Solanum lycopersicum: one gene and its partner. The main gene of each other region encodes a partner of the protein of the gene in region 2 in a complex. Links are inferred from orthologs where the notes say so. Each region holds a gene or a part of one and is shown on either strand. Other genes may lie near its edges.

Region 1 (6,638 bases), on a different chromosome or scaffold from region 2:
TGTAATTGTTATTGTGTGTTTCAATTTCTTCTCATCCTCGTAAATTGTACTCGATGAAATAGTCAATGTGCGCGCAAGTTTGCTCAAAGTAACACTAGGCTCGTAACTTATATCACCGGTGTCTATTTCCTCAAGTTTGTATGAGTTGTAATAATAGTTGAAAAATCTCTTGTCCCAAAATTGACCTAAGCCATGCCTGTGCCATCTTACATGAAAATCTAGAGTGAAGCCTAGCAGATGAAACTTATAACTGGTACAATTTTATTTTTTTGGTTTTCATAAGTTTGACCCAATTCATTCATTTGTTTGAGCTATGTACTCGATAGACGATAGCACAGATTTTTAGAACACCTTCAACAGAGGGCAAATAGTCAATGTTGAATGAATTTGTTGGAGAATGCATCAGCCTCCATAAATGCTACTTCTTTGGCTATATAATCACAGTGGGCTTAAAATGTTGTCTGGTTTCTCTCCATCCACAGAGCATGAATGCATTTAGCATATAATATTCTGTTTAGTTAAGCACTTTGAGACTTACCTTTGGAGTTGTTGATTGCTCAATCTAAGTGCTGCAAACATGTGTTAGCAATGAAACTTGGTCTATTGATCCAAGTCAAAATTACAGAAGATAAAGATGTTCTCTATTTTTCGAGTGTGTTTGACAGAATTTATACATTGTATTCACATAGAATGATTGTATGTGAATACAATCTCCATTTAGACAACCTATCTGTAGTAGGAAGCCTGTTTTCAGAACTAAGTTAGTAACATGTTTGGCAACACAATTAGGATGTACTTTCTTGTATTTATGAGATCATCGAAAAAAAGGGACGAATTTCAGAAATATTTGGTCGTAAAAATTGTGAGTATATGATAAAAAAGTAATTTTTATTTTCAAAGTGAAAAATAATATTTGAATAATGAGGTTTTTAAGATTTTTGTGAGTTATACTTTTCTTCGGATGATTTTTAAATTCTTGAAATTTTTGGAATTCTACTTCTCAATTTCTTGCAAAATATTTGTACGGAATTTTCATTGTGTATATAGGGTTTAGTTTTTAAATGACTTTGTAGCTATAACTTGGTTATATTACCAGACTAGTTTAGTGTATTCTTCTTCTACTGTATTTTAAAAAATTCTTGAAATTTATAAATGTTGTATATTAAATTGTTTCAAATATTTGGTTTTTAGGAGAAAAAGTAGTCATTGATACTACTCTTCGAATAGAGCTATACAAGAAGGTTCAGAATTCAGCAACGAGATAATGGAAAACCAAAAAATGTGCTAAAAGACCAAGGCATAGGGTTAATACAAGAATATATATCATGAAGTAAAACAGATAAATACAACTAAGGAGAAGGTCGAAAGCTTTTTTTTTCGTGAATATTCTAAGCTTAGAAGACTAAAAGACTCGTAGATTTCTCAAGTTCTTTGATGCCTTCTAAAATATTTTTTTTATGTACATCACCAAAAGTCAAACTTCTTTTAACGTTAAAAGACTATTGATTAACACAAAAAAACTAACTAGTAGCAAGTGCCTATGTTTCGACACTTCACTTGAAGCTGATTGGGATAGGTCAGCATAAGACTCAAGATTAATGGTTGATCTTCGCAAAAGATGTCATAAGCATGTACAATTTTAAGGTGGGCTCTCCCGAAAAAGGTCCCATTAGTTCTCCAATCACAAATAAACATTAAATCGCCTCAACGAATGATCCTTCCCAATTCCACAAAGGCACAAATTATAACAAGTATTTTCTCAATCTTAATTTTATCACGTATCACCATTCCAATTCCACAAAGACACATTATAACAAGTATTTTTTTTTATTTTAATTTTACCACGTGTCACAATATAATTCGTCGTAAACACAATCCATTTTCCTATAGAACCCAAAAAATAAGAGCGGTAAATGATGGATGATTCAAATTTCAAGGAAGATCCCCAAAATTTACCGCCTACATCGTTGGAAACCTTTCATTTCTTACATTACATCTCGACCGTCCAACTCTTTGTTTTATTTCATTTCAGAGCGTTTTCAAGGCATCTTTAATCTCAACCGTCCAAGCTCTGTTTTGACTGATAGAAACGCAAAATAAGCCAACTGTACGAAAATATATTTTTGTCCAAAACTCAAAAGCCAAAACTCCTTGCGGTTTCTACAAGCTCATTTACTCTTCTCTCTCTCTCTCTCTCTCAACTAACAGAAGAGGCAAGGCGATTCCTCCAGAAGTTTGCAAGCTCTGGTCGATTCTGGTTTGTTCCTTTCCTCTGTTTATGTTTATTCATTTTATTTATCTGTTATAGTTTTTGTATGTGTGATTTTTAATGTCTAGAAATGGAACCCCAAACCCTATGTTCATAGAAAGGTTGAGAATTTGTGGTCTGTGTTTCTGATTATGTTTTTTTTTGGGGGGGGGGGATTTTTCTGAGCTGGGGTGTTGTGTTTTTTTTTTCTTGTTGCAGATTTGAACCGGTATAGAACTGAAGTGATTGTGTTTTGTAACGTTTTATTTGGGTATGTCGAGTGAAGAAAAAACAGAGAAGAGCGAAAACCTAGATGGGTTGTCAGCTGAAGCATTGGACTCTGAAACCCTAATGGCTGATTCTGTAACTGGGTTGTCTGATGAGGTGCCTAGGGTTTCTGATGATAATGGAAATGTGGATACTGGTGCTATTAGCGAGCCAGTTGTTGCTACAGAGGAGACCCTGGAAGTGGGGAGTGACGCTGGTGGTGATGTGGTGGAAGTTCATGGTTCACTGGATAATGTGAGTGGGGGAGAGCTTGCGAGTGAAGGGGCTGAAGCAGATCAAGGGTCTGGACATTTGGTTGAGGAAATGAACGGAGAGGAGAATGTAGCTGGTGGTTCGGATGATGAGATGATTGATGCTGTTGACGGAGAAACTGCTGAGGATAACTCTGGGGATGATACAACTAGTGTAAAACATGTTTATGCAGTTGGTGACTTTGTGTGGGGCAAGATTAAGAGTCATCCGTGGTGGCCAGGGCGTGTTTACGATGCTTCCACTGCCTCTGACTTTGCTATGAAGTATAATCAAACAGGTCGATTGCTAGTGGCATACTTTGGAGATGGGTCATTTTCTTGGTGCCCCCCTTCGCAATTGGTGCCTTTTGTTGACAACTTTGAAAAAATGTCAAAGCAGAGCACTTCCAAGAGTTTCTTATATGCTGTTGAAAAAACCTTGGATGAAATTGGTGTGCTTGTGGAGTTTCAAATGACCTGCCAATGTGTCTCTGAAGAGAGTCTTACTGGACTTAGTTGGCCATTGGCAGTGAATGCTGGAATCAAAAAGGGTGTTCAAGTGCCTGTGTCAGAAACTGTCAGTCTTTTACTTTCTCAGTTTGAACCTGCGGAAAGACTTAAAGGTCTAAAACGTAATGCACTAACCAATTCTCATTCCAATATACTTGAGTTTGCTGTCTTGAATAGTTGGCTATCTGCTTTTTATCGTGCTAAGTATGGACACCCTTTGGCTTCATATTGTGAACCCCTTCTAGTTGAAGGCCTCGAGGACAAGAAGGAAGATCAAGTCATTGATGCAAATGACTTCAGCATACCCATTGAGGTTCCCATTCAGGGTCCATCAGAAGAAATTCCTAATTCTGGATCTTCAAAGTTTCCTATGACTGCCTGCGACAAGATTTATCAGAAGAGGAAGCAGAAAAGTGTGGCTGAACTTATGGGAGAGAACGCCAAGCCCAAAGGTAAGAAGACAACTGAAGACGATTCTACACCTTCGTCTGTAGAAACATCCGAGAAGAAAAGGAAGAAGTCTGGTGAGAAAGCTAAAGGTCAAACTGGCAGCTCGATGAGTGTTGATGAAAAAATTGGTAAGAGGGTCAACAAGAAGTCTGGTGACAGTGACTTGGTGAAAACAAAGAAACTTAGTGTTTCAATTCCTGAGAGTGATGAAGTTGGCAACCAGCAAGACAATGCGGGCCCTTTATCAAGGGAAAGAAAGAAGAGCAAGTATTTGTCACCTCCTTATACAAGCCCCAAGTGGAATGCAGGAAAATCAAGCTTTAAGAGAGAACTGGCAATAGAATCACAGAAATTTTCTGATAATTCCAAGATTGGTGAGAGGATGACAAAGGCTGCACGTCTTCTTTTGTCTTCTCCTGATTCGAATGGGAAAGAGGCCTTCAAGGATGACGTTGACAAGAGTTCTGGGATCAATAAGCGAAGCTCTAGGACTTTTGATACCGTGGCTATCAATTCATCTGTGGATGAAGTTTTGTCCGAGGTTCAGTCTACTGCTCTAAACCCTCTTCTGTTGAGGAATGGATCTCTTGAGAAGGCCAGAGGTTTCATTTCCACTTTCAGAAACTCGCTATATTATGATGGATCAAACTACAAGCAGTATCACCAAATGGAAACAGGAAAGAAGAGAAAATCCGCGGGATCAGGAAATCTAATTTCCCAGAGTGATACTGAATCACCAGACTCCATTCCTTCAAAGAAGAGGAAGACAAATTATGCAAAATCAGAAGTTACCAAACTCAAAAAAGACTATGGTCCTTCTAGTCAGGGAAAAGAAGATGAGGATGATGGTAGAGAAGCTTCATCTGTGATTCTGTTGGTGGCATTTTTGACTGGTTTTTCTTTGCCACCAGAAGATGAAATCATTCGAATATATAACAAGTTTGGAGAGCTGAATGAAGAGGAAACAGAAGTGCTTCGTGATTCGAACTCTGTTCGAATTGTCTACAGGCATGGTGCAGATGCTGCACAGGCCTTTAAAGAATCGGTAAGGCAAAGTCCTTTTGGTGCTGCTAATGTGAACTTTACGCTCAGCTATTCCTCTAAATCTGAGAGTCCACTATCCTCGCTAAAAGCTCGTAAGGGGAAGTCACAGGTACAACTAATCAAGCAGAAGCTGAAAGGGATGGCATCAATATTGGATAAGTGCAAGGGTAAGATTACAAGCGCTGAGAAATCAGAGTTGGAGAATGAGATAAAAGGCTTGGTGGAGAAGGTAAGTGCAGTGACTTCAACAAACCCATAGGAGATCTCCTGAAGCTGGTTGCTTCAACTTGATGTGTTCTCCTTTTGTTGATAGTGTTAGTATATTGTCCAGCTTATGTTGATTAGGATACTGAATGCACTTGTATTAGGTTCGTGTATGAAGTAGGAGCATAGGATGCTAGCTCTGTACAATTGATTTGCTCAAGTTACTATAAAGTTGCAATTACTTTGATTAGTTTTTGTTAAGAGTTAGCTGAATCTGCAGCCATCCCCTGACCAACCAAAACTAAAAGGGAAGTAAAAATGCGTTTGTGTTTTGCATTTATGAATATTCTTGTCAATGTATCGTTGTCAAAAGATCCTGAACTGCACTTGTAGAGATGGTAGCTTGAATTGCTTGTTGAATGCAGGGATACAGTCGGTTTTCTGAGTCTATTATTTGCACATTCAGAGTTAATATCATACTGATATGAGCTTGTTTATGGATACAATAGCCTTGTGAAGTTTGTATTTGTCACGTGACTGCAGAAGTTTAGTGTCTATATCAAAGGCATTCTATATATTTCTTTTAATGAATTATCAAGAATGTACCTTCCGGGTGCCAATGAATGTCTGTGATAAGCCCAAAACAGTCGTGAAGTTCTGCTAACCATAATATCAAAGCACAGATAGTGAAGAAAGGTATTGTCCAGCATCAAGCATTAAGCAGTTACGAATACATCAATTACAATTAGAGGGAGTCAAGAGTTCATTCTTTGGCATAATAATGGCTCATAATCTTTGCCAAACATTGATTGGAGCTATAAGGCTGTGAACTAGCTATGTAACTCTAGATTTGGATATCAACCCAGTTAAAATTCTGACATTTTAGAAAAGAATATTTCAGGATTTGCAGAAAATGAATTGTAGTAGGTTTCAAAACATGTTTGAAGAATATTTATCCCTACTATTATTTCCGTTATTGAAGTTCCAGAACTATAATTGTTGTTGTAATGTACCATTTCGAATTAACTATGTTTTTTGGATTATTTATTTTTTTACAATTGTTTACAAGGGATCAAGGAAAGTTGAGTAGAACCAAAATGATTAGAACGCTTACTTATTCAATTTCATGGCATTTACTATTTTGGATTAATTATTGGATTGTCCTTACAATGACATTATATATCAAGAACAAACATGAAAATGCAAAGAAAAGAAGAATGATCTGGAAAATAAAATAAAAATAAAAACAAACTTTATCCTGATAAAAACACAATTTGATATTAGGATTCTCTTGTCTCTCCGTGTTTAAATAAAAAAACAATTTTAGCACTAATAATGTAAGAGGGCCACACGTCTGCTATGTTACTATGAGTCAAGATTTGTTATTATATTAATTGATTGGGTTGGTAGCTAGGTGCAATCCATTGCCAATAGATTTACAATTTTTAATTATACTGATTGCAAATTCTGTAGAGATTAATGTTGCTATATGATATCTATTCCACATTTTAATGTTGTCAATTACGAGTTTGGGCCTCTTTTGTGGAATTAGGTGAAAAAAAGGAGGCCCTTTTGCCACATCTTAGTGTGGTTCTTTTTCGAAGTTTTTTGTTGTTTCTCATTCTAGTTTTAATTTACGTTTCTCATTCCAGTAATTTCTAGAG
Region 2 (6,841 bases):
TGTTGCGGAGCTAAGACAAAAGCTACAGACTCTGGAAAGCTTAAAGAAAGAACTTGAGCTACTCCAACGACAAAAGGCTGCATCAGAGCAAGCCTTAAATGAGAAGCGAAGGCAGAGCTCTGGTGGAGTATGGGGATGGATTGCTGGAACTCCTCCTAATCAACAAGATGATGCTTGATGCAATAAGTTTGATAATAGAAAACCAGTTTTCATTGATAATTTTTTTTATTAAAAATATTTTTATTATGTTAATGGTTCTTTCACAGATAGAATAAGATATGGAGTCGAGAATTCTTTTAGGGTGGAGGTAAGTAATGTCTTTTGTATCAAGGCAGGCGGGACTTTTGTTGTATTATTATGAGTGGCTACTAGTGCTACTTATTTTTTGGTCTGAGTATTCACCAGAACTATCCTCAGAGAGAGAATTAATTGGTAACAAAGTATAGGAATGGGGTTTTCAGGTATTTATGGATTTTTGTAATGCATTTCGTCTTACTGTATTTGTCTCATGGAAAAGCTAAGAGTTATTCATAGAATGTAGTATGAATTGTAATACTTTTTTAGCCTATGGTTGCATTCAGTTACTTCTTGTTTAAACTGTCATCCTTGGAATATCGACAGAGAAGTTTATGGGCAAGGGATAAAATTGCTAGCTTCAAAGAAACTGTTGGTTAGACTTCAGTTCAAGTTAAACAGCTTAACGCTTTTTAAGCATTGGAAACTAATCCTATAAATAACTAATTTCGTATTTAGATAAAATTGTTGAGATTGATAGTAATAGATAACAAAGAATAACACATATTTAAGTTCTGTCAAGTCACGTTATAGATCTTGCAAAATAAAATTAAAAAAAGGCAGAAGTTTTGGGTGGTACGTTCATGAATTTTCATTAGCTTTCACTTTTAACTTGTTACGGTATGATGTGGCACATTACTTGCTATGTCTATTTCTCAGGATGTTGTATTTGGATGATGGAGAGGAGATAATTAATGTTAATAAGAAGTCATTTCTTTTTATTGTATGATGAACTTGTATTCTTTATGAATACATTCTCAAAATATTCTGACAAAAATGAATTTATATATATTTCCCTACCAAACACACCCTCAATGCTTTTCTTTTTGTTAAACACCCTCTATGTTTCTAAACTTGAGCATCAAACATTAAATCATTGATTTGCTAGATTTTTTACTCTAATAAAAGATGTGTTATCAAACATTAAATCATTGATTTGCTAGATTTTTTACTCTAAAATATGTGTTATTTATAGTTTTCTCTATTTGAGAGACGCATACTTGGAATTATGATCATATATAAAAGTTTTACAAAGTAACTTATTTTGATATCATCTATTCGTGTTTATCTTTTAAAATATTTTATATACATTCACTTCAAATATACATTGTATGAACTTCAACTCATCGAACATAAATATAAAATAATTGTTATTTAAATAGATGATATATGATTGAATTTTCAGTCCAATATGATTGAAATTCAAAAAAAAAAGATTAGACTTAAACTCTAGCCTAACTTCAGACACAATCAATCTTAAATAAATTTATGTGTATAAAAAAATTAAAAAGTATATCCAAATAATTAGATAACTCGTCAAAATAGGGTACCTGTATACGTCGGCCTGTACATGTGGCTTTAATCTTAAGAATTCGGACTAATCATTTTTTTTTAAAGAAAATTGTATATAACAGCAAACTAATAACCTAAAATAAATAGAGTAGCTAGGGTTTGATTTAATTGTGCTCCATAGCAAACGTTTACAAAAAATTGTCAGGCGCCTCTCTCCCAAATATCTCGCTCGCCACTCTCCTCCAATCTGTCGCTCGCTTCCTCACTTTTTATGCAAACACAAGTGTATAAAATTTATTTCTAATTGTATAAAGCAGAGAAAATTATATAAATACATATGTTTTTGTTCCCCTCTCTCTCCTCTTTCAGATCTCGCTCGCCACTATCCCAAATCTCGCTCGCTACCCTCGCCTTTCTCACTTATATAAACAGAAGCGAAATGTATAAATTGCGTTTATGTTTGTATAAAACATGAGAAAATTGTATATACACATGCAAATACATATATTTTCGTCCTATATACTTATAATTGTACAATAAAAATACTCCCCTGCCCAATTTCTTTTGTCTTTCTCTCTTTCTCGTTTTATACAATTTTCAAAATTGTATCTAATTTCTCTCTTTCTCGTTTTATACGATTCGATTCAATTGTATATTCCTTGTCAAGTCTCTTTTGTCTTTCTCTCTTTCTCATTTATACAAATTCAAATTGTATATAATCGTTCTATACACTTATAATAATACAATCGTTTTATACACTTCGTTTTTATACAGTTCTCTGTCCAAGTGTCTTTCTCTTTCTTGTTTTATACAATTCATTTTATACAATTTGCTTCAACTGTATATGTATAACGAATTATATAATTTCTATGTTTGATATGAAGCGCAATTATGCAAACTTTGCTATAACATACAAATATAAATTTTTTATTTGTTATACGTGAAAATTGCCCTTTTTTTTCCGTTTAACCAAAAAATTATGCACACTTAAATCATTTGTACGTGGCGTGAAAAAAGAGCCATAATAACACGTGGTGTCTTCCACTTAGGGCCTTAAACAGGTTTAAGCCCATGGGCCGGAACCAATAAGCTCCATTTCTCTCTCACGCATCTACAATTCTACATTTGTCTTTTGTTCTCTCGCAGGGTTTGTACCGTAGTATCCAGAATTCTCACTATATCCGTGAATTTGCTGCATTTTCCTGGGGAATTCATCGGTGTTCTTCGTCCTGAAGGTTCATTTTGAAGTCGTATGGAAACGGAGTTTTAGCTCCAGGAGATGATTTCTGTGATGAGCAACAGATTCGAAGCAAATCGAAGTAACGATTCAGTAGAAGAGACGCAAGTTAGGGTTTCCAGTAGGAACCCCTCAGATGATTCTGAACAAGCGAGGGTTTCTATGGACGGAAAGGATTCTAGGGTTTCGAATTCCCAAACGGAGGATTCTAGGGTTTTGGAATCGGAAACTGAGGGAAATCAAACTAGGGTTAACGAAATAAAAGACGAAGAAGGTGGTAGTTCGGTGAAGTCAGGTCGAATGAAGTTGGAGCAGAAAGGAAAGACAGCATTGGTTTCTAGTAAAACTGATGCGAGGAAGGGAAAATTGGAGCCTTATGTTTCTGAGTATGATTTAATGCTCTCTAAGTTTGATGAATTTGCAGGAAATGTGAAATGTTGGTCAGTTGGTTATGGGTTTGAAATGGGTGATATGGTGTGGGGAAAGGTGAAGTCACACCCTTGGTGGCCAGGTCACATTTTCAGCGAAGCGTTCGCTACTCCTTCTGTGCGAAGGAGTAAAAGGGAGGGTCACATTTTGGTTGCTTTTTATGGTGATAGCAGCTATGGATGGTTTGATCCAGATGAGCTTGTACATTTTGAACCAACTTATGCGGAGAAGTCTATGCAAACTAATGTGAAGAACTTTATAAAAGCAGTGGAGGAAGGGGTCGATGAAGTGAGCCGTAGGAGTGCTTTAGGTTTGGTTTGTTATTGTAGGAAGACATATAGACTTCGTGCTGTGTCAATTAATGGGTTCTTTGCTGTTGATTTTAGTGATCTTGAGAGGAATTGTACTTACTCAGCTAGTCAGATTAAAAAGGCTAGGGAAAGCTTTAAACCCAAAGAAACTAGGGGTTATGTGAATAAGTTGGCATTGAAGCCTAGGAGAAAAGTGCATGCGGATCTTAACCTTGTTAAGAAGAAGGCAACCGCGTTGGCTTATAGAAAGGCTGTTTTTGAGGAAGATGATCCTACCTATGCAGAAGCTTTTGGTGTTGTTTATTCTAAACAAGCACAAGAAGTGGCTCAACCATTTAGACAACCCTCTTCAAGAGGTATTATGTTTCACTCCCTTTGTTTTATTCAATGCTCTCCTATCAAAACCCCAAGAAATAACCTTGCAAATCTTTTGCCCTGTTAGTGTGTACTTAATTTTGGAGTATAATATAGCTCATTATTGAGGATGATACACCTAGAAGATGATACACCTAGAACACTAAATTTGAAGGAATTGCAATGTTTTAACTTGTTTGTTTCAAGTTATTTGGATAGAAACTACTTTGTTGGATTGTGTAACTAGGTATTGGTATTGATGTCATGTTGCAGTGCCGCTCAAGGCCATCAACATTGGCACATTACTAATTTGGTGAAGATTGAGTGTTAATAGGATATTAGGCGAGGGAAAGTGTAAAGAACTTTCCCTTTTATATATCCAATCTACTTTTCTAGCCACCCCCAAAATATTGTGGGGTGTTCAAATGATAAGTTGGTCAATGTACCAATGTCCCCCTTAAGCATGAAATTTCACTTTTGGTTATGTTAATATAAGGGTGAACCGCCCTTAATCTAATGGAATTGGAAGATAGGAAAGAAAACATGAGATGAGTTGCACATTAGTGCATAATAATGTCTTATAGAAGTTTACGGCGATTAAAGCTATAACTGGCTGCATAATAGGTTATGCTCAACATTAATGTTGTTAGCTCCCGCTATTGTTATAGTGGGACACGTGAATTAGAGCCTAAAGGCGAATTCAGTTGGTTGGATATCTTCAACTATATAAATAACTAATGGTTGTAGTATGGGTTTTTACTTTATGTGTAAGGGGTTGTCTGGCAGGATGTGTTGGAAAAATAGTAGATCATTAACTTTGTGTATTATTAATACCATGTTTGGTACATTTTTTCAATCTATGTATAACTAATGTAAGTATTAGTTATGCTATATATAATTAATAAATACCAAACATGGTTATAGAAATGTAATGATTTTTGATGCATTCATTAGCATGTTTAAAGATAACATTGTCCTTCAAAGAATTTCCACACCCTTACGACAATATTATACAATGGTGGGTGTTTTTGTGAACATATTTTTTTGTGTGTGGAAATTATGTGATGCTACTACAACAGATTTAGAAGTGCATAAGAAATAATCTCAGTATAAGTATAACTAATGTAGTATTAGCAATACACCTTATTTTTAGGGCTCTTTTTATACACTGTATCAAACGGCCCTAAATGTATAACTCTATCCCCCATCACACAAAAACCAATTCCATCAAAAACCAATTACAAAATAAGCTTCCATTCCTACTAACACGACTTAGGCCTCCTACTAAAACAACTAATTACATTTGTAAATGTTGAATGAAAAAACTACATTTTGTTGCCTTCTTTGATTAACTTAGGATATATAATGTCTCTATCAACATTATCAACTCCTTAAATTGTGTCACTACCTCCTCTCTCTGCATACTTATATTAAATTTTTTCCATTTTCTAGCTCTCCACATATGATAAGGTATCGCCCCACTTACAACTGCAATGATTTCCTTTTGAAACTGCTTCCAATGCTTCAACTTTATGCCCTCTATACCTGCTTGATTCCATTACTTATCAGTGTAATCCCGGTCCACTGCATCAATTCTTGCCACTATTTTAGTCCAACTGATTCAAATAAATGCACTATGGTCTCCATAGTCTGTTCATCACAGAGGCAGTAATCCCTATCTTCAACTAGAATATGTATGTAATCTCAATTTTCTCTCCTGAGTGATTAGTCGACCTTGCACGGTAAACCACACTATGAATTTGTGCTTAGGTGGAGCTACAACAGGCCAAACCAATTCAACAATTTTCATGTGTGGCCTATGTCCTAATAATTCCAAATAGCTTCTTGTGATAGAATATTTCTCACTTTGAGTTGATTTTTATCTGTTCTTGCAGTGCCATTCCTGCATTTGGTACTTAATTGCATTAACTTTCCTCCACTACCAACTACAATCTATAGGTACCTTGTGATTCCATAAAGAACTTTCATCCTTTAGATATACCATGTACCCATTTAACTCACAAAGCTTCCTTGTTCTCTATGGTTTGCCAAATCAATTAGCCCACCGAAGCCACATTCCAAGCACGACTTTCTTTTATATTCAATCCACCTCTTCTTTTAAGATGACACACCTTATCCCATAAAGCCAGTGCAACCTTTTTCCTATCTTCAGATTTTCCCCACAAATAGCTCCTAAACTTCTTTATGTTATCTCTCTCAAATTACTAGCTATTAGAATTAATGTGTTGGGTCATCTTTATCATCCAAGTTAGTATTTTGGAAGGTAAGACGTCAAGGACCTGCCTCATTAAGGTAAATTGCTTGCCTTTTTGAATTGATTTACCAATATATCCTGAAAATTAAATATGTAATTGTCTATATAAATAATCGAAAGCTCAATAACAACAATATATTAGCAAATATTTCAATTCAAAGAACTTGAAGGAGTCAAAATTTTAGACAAGCATTACTAAATTGCTTAAAGTAAAAAGAAAGACAAAACAAGCTAGAAAAGAATGTGCTAGTTCCTAATTACCAAAACAAACTTACCTTTTGCAACTGAAGTCTAAAGACGGATGGAGAACCCAGTTGACTCAGAAAAGGTAAGGGGTGATAAAACCCTAAAATCACAAGCATCGTCTTTTCCTTCCTTTTTTTTGAACTTATGTCACACCTATGTCGACATGACGTGAGTGTGGGATCTGTATTGGATGTGGTCAACCAATTTTGCGTACTTTGGCCAAACTCGATAGTGAAATAAAGACAAAAATAGTGATTTTTGAAATCATATCTAGAGCTAGGGTGATTTAGGCATAAGCTTTTTATCGTTTAAAGATATTGTAATAAAAAATTAGCCGTCAGAAGGGCTGTAAGGATATTTATGGGCTAAAACTTAACATAACTATTTAATGTGTGGTGAACT

Evidence for each region. The genes of interacting proteins can lie anywhere in the genome.
Region 1: PWWP domain-containing protein 1 (region 2) and PWWP domain-containing protein 6 share a complex: the UniProt entries of both Arabidopsis thaliana proteins name them as parts of the PRC2 (polycomb repressive complex 2) complex. The link is inferred for Solanum lycopersicum from reciprocal best matches to the Arabidopsis thaliana genes AT5G27650 and AT5G40340.

The regions. Positions count from the first base shown.
Region 1 is NC_090801.1:65,660,786-65,667,423, forward strand, and holds PWWP domain-containing protein 6, read left to right. Parts: upstream 1-2,107; 5' UTR 2,108-2,257; intron 2,258-2,467; 5' UTR 2,468-2,521; coding exon 2,522-5,029; 3' UTR 5,030-5,221; downstream 5,222-6,638. UniProt on the Arabidopsis thaliana protein: Together with PDP1, PDP2 and PDP6, interacts with MSI4/FVE and MSI5 to suppress FLC, MAF4 and MAF5 expression by regulating the function of the PRC2 complex and modulating H3K27me3 level, thereby promoting flowering.
Region 2 is NC_090800.1:85,522,074-85,528,914, forward strand, and holds the start of PWWP domain-containing protein 1, read left to right. Parts: upstream 1-2,642; 5' UTR 2,643-2,866; coding exon 2,867-3,920; intron 3,921-6,841. Other genes in the region: acyl-CoA-binding domain-containing protein 4, read left to right, coding at 1-178. UniProt on the Arabidopsis thaliana protein: Together with PDP2, PDP3 and PDP6, interacts with MSI4/FVE and MSI5 to suppress FLC, MAF4 and MAF5 expression by regulating the function of the PRC2 complex and modulating H3K27me3 level, thereby promoting flowering.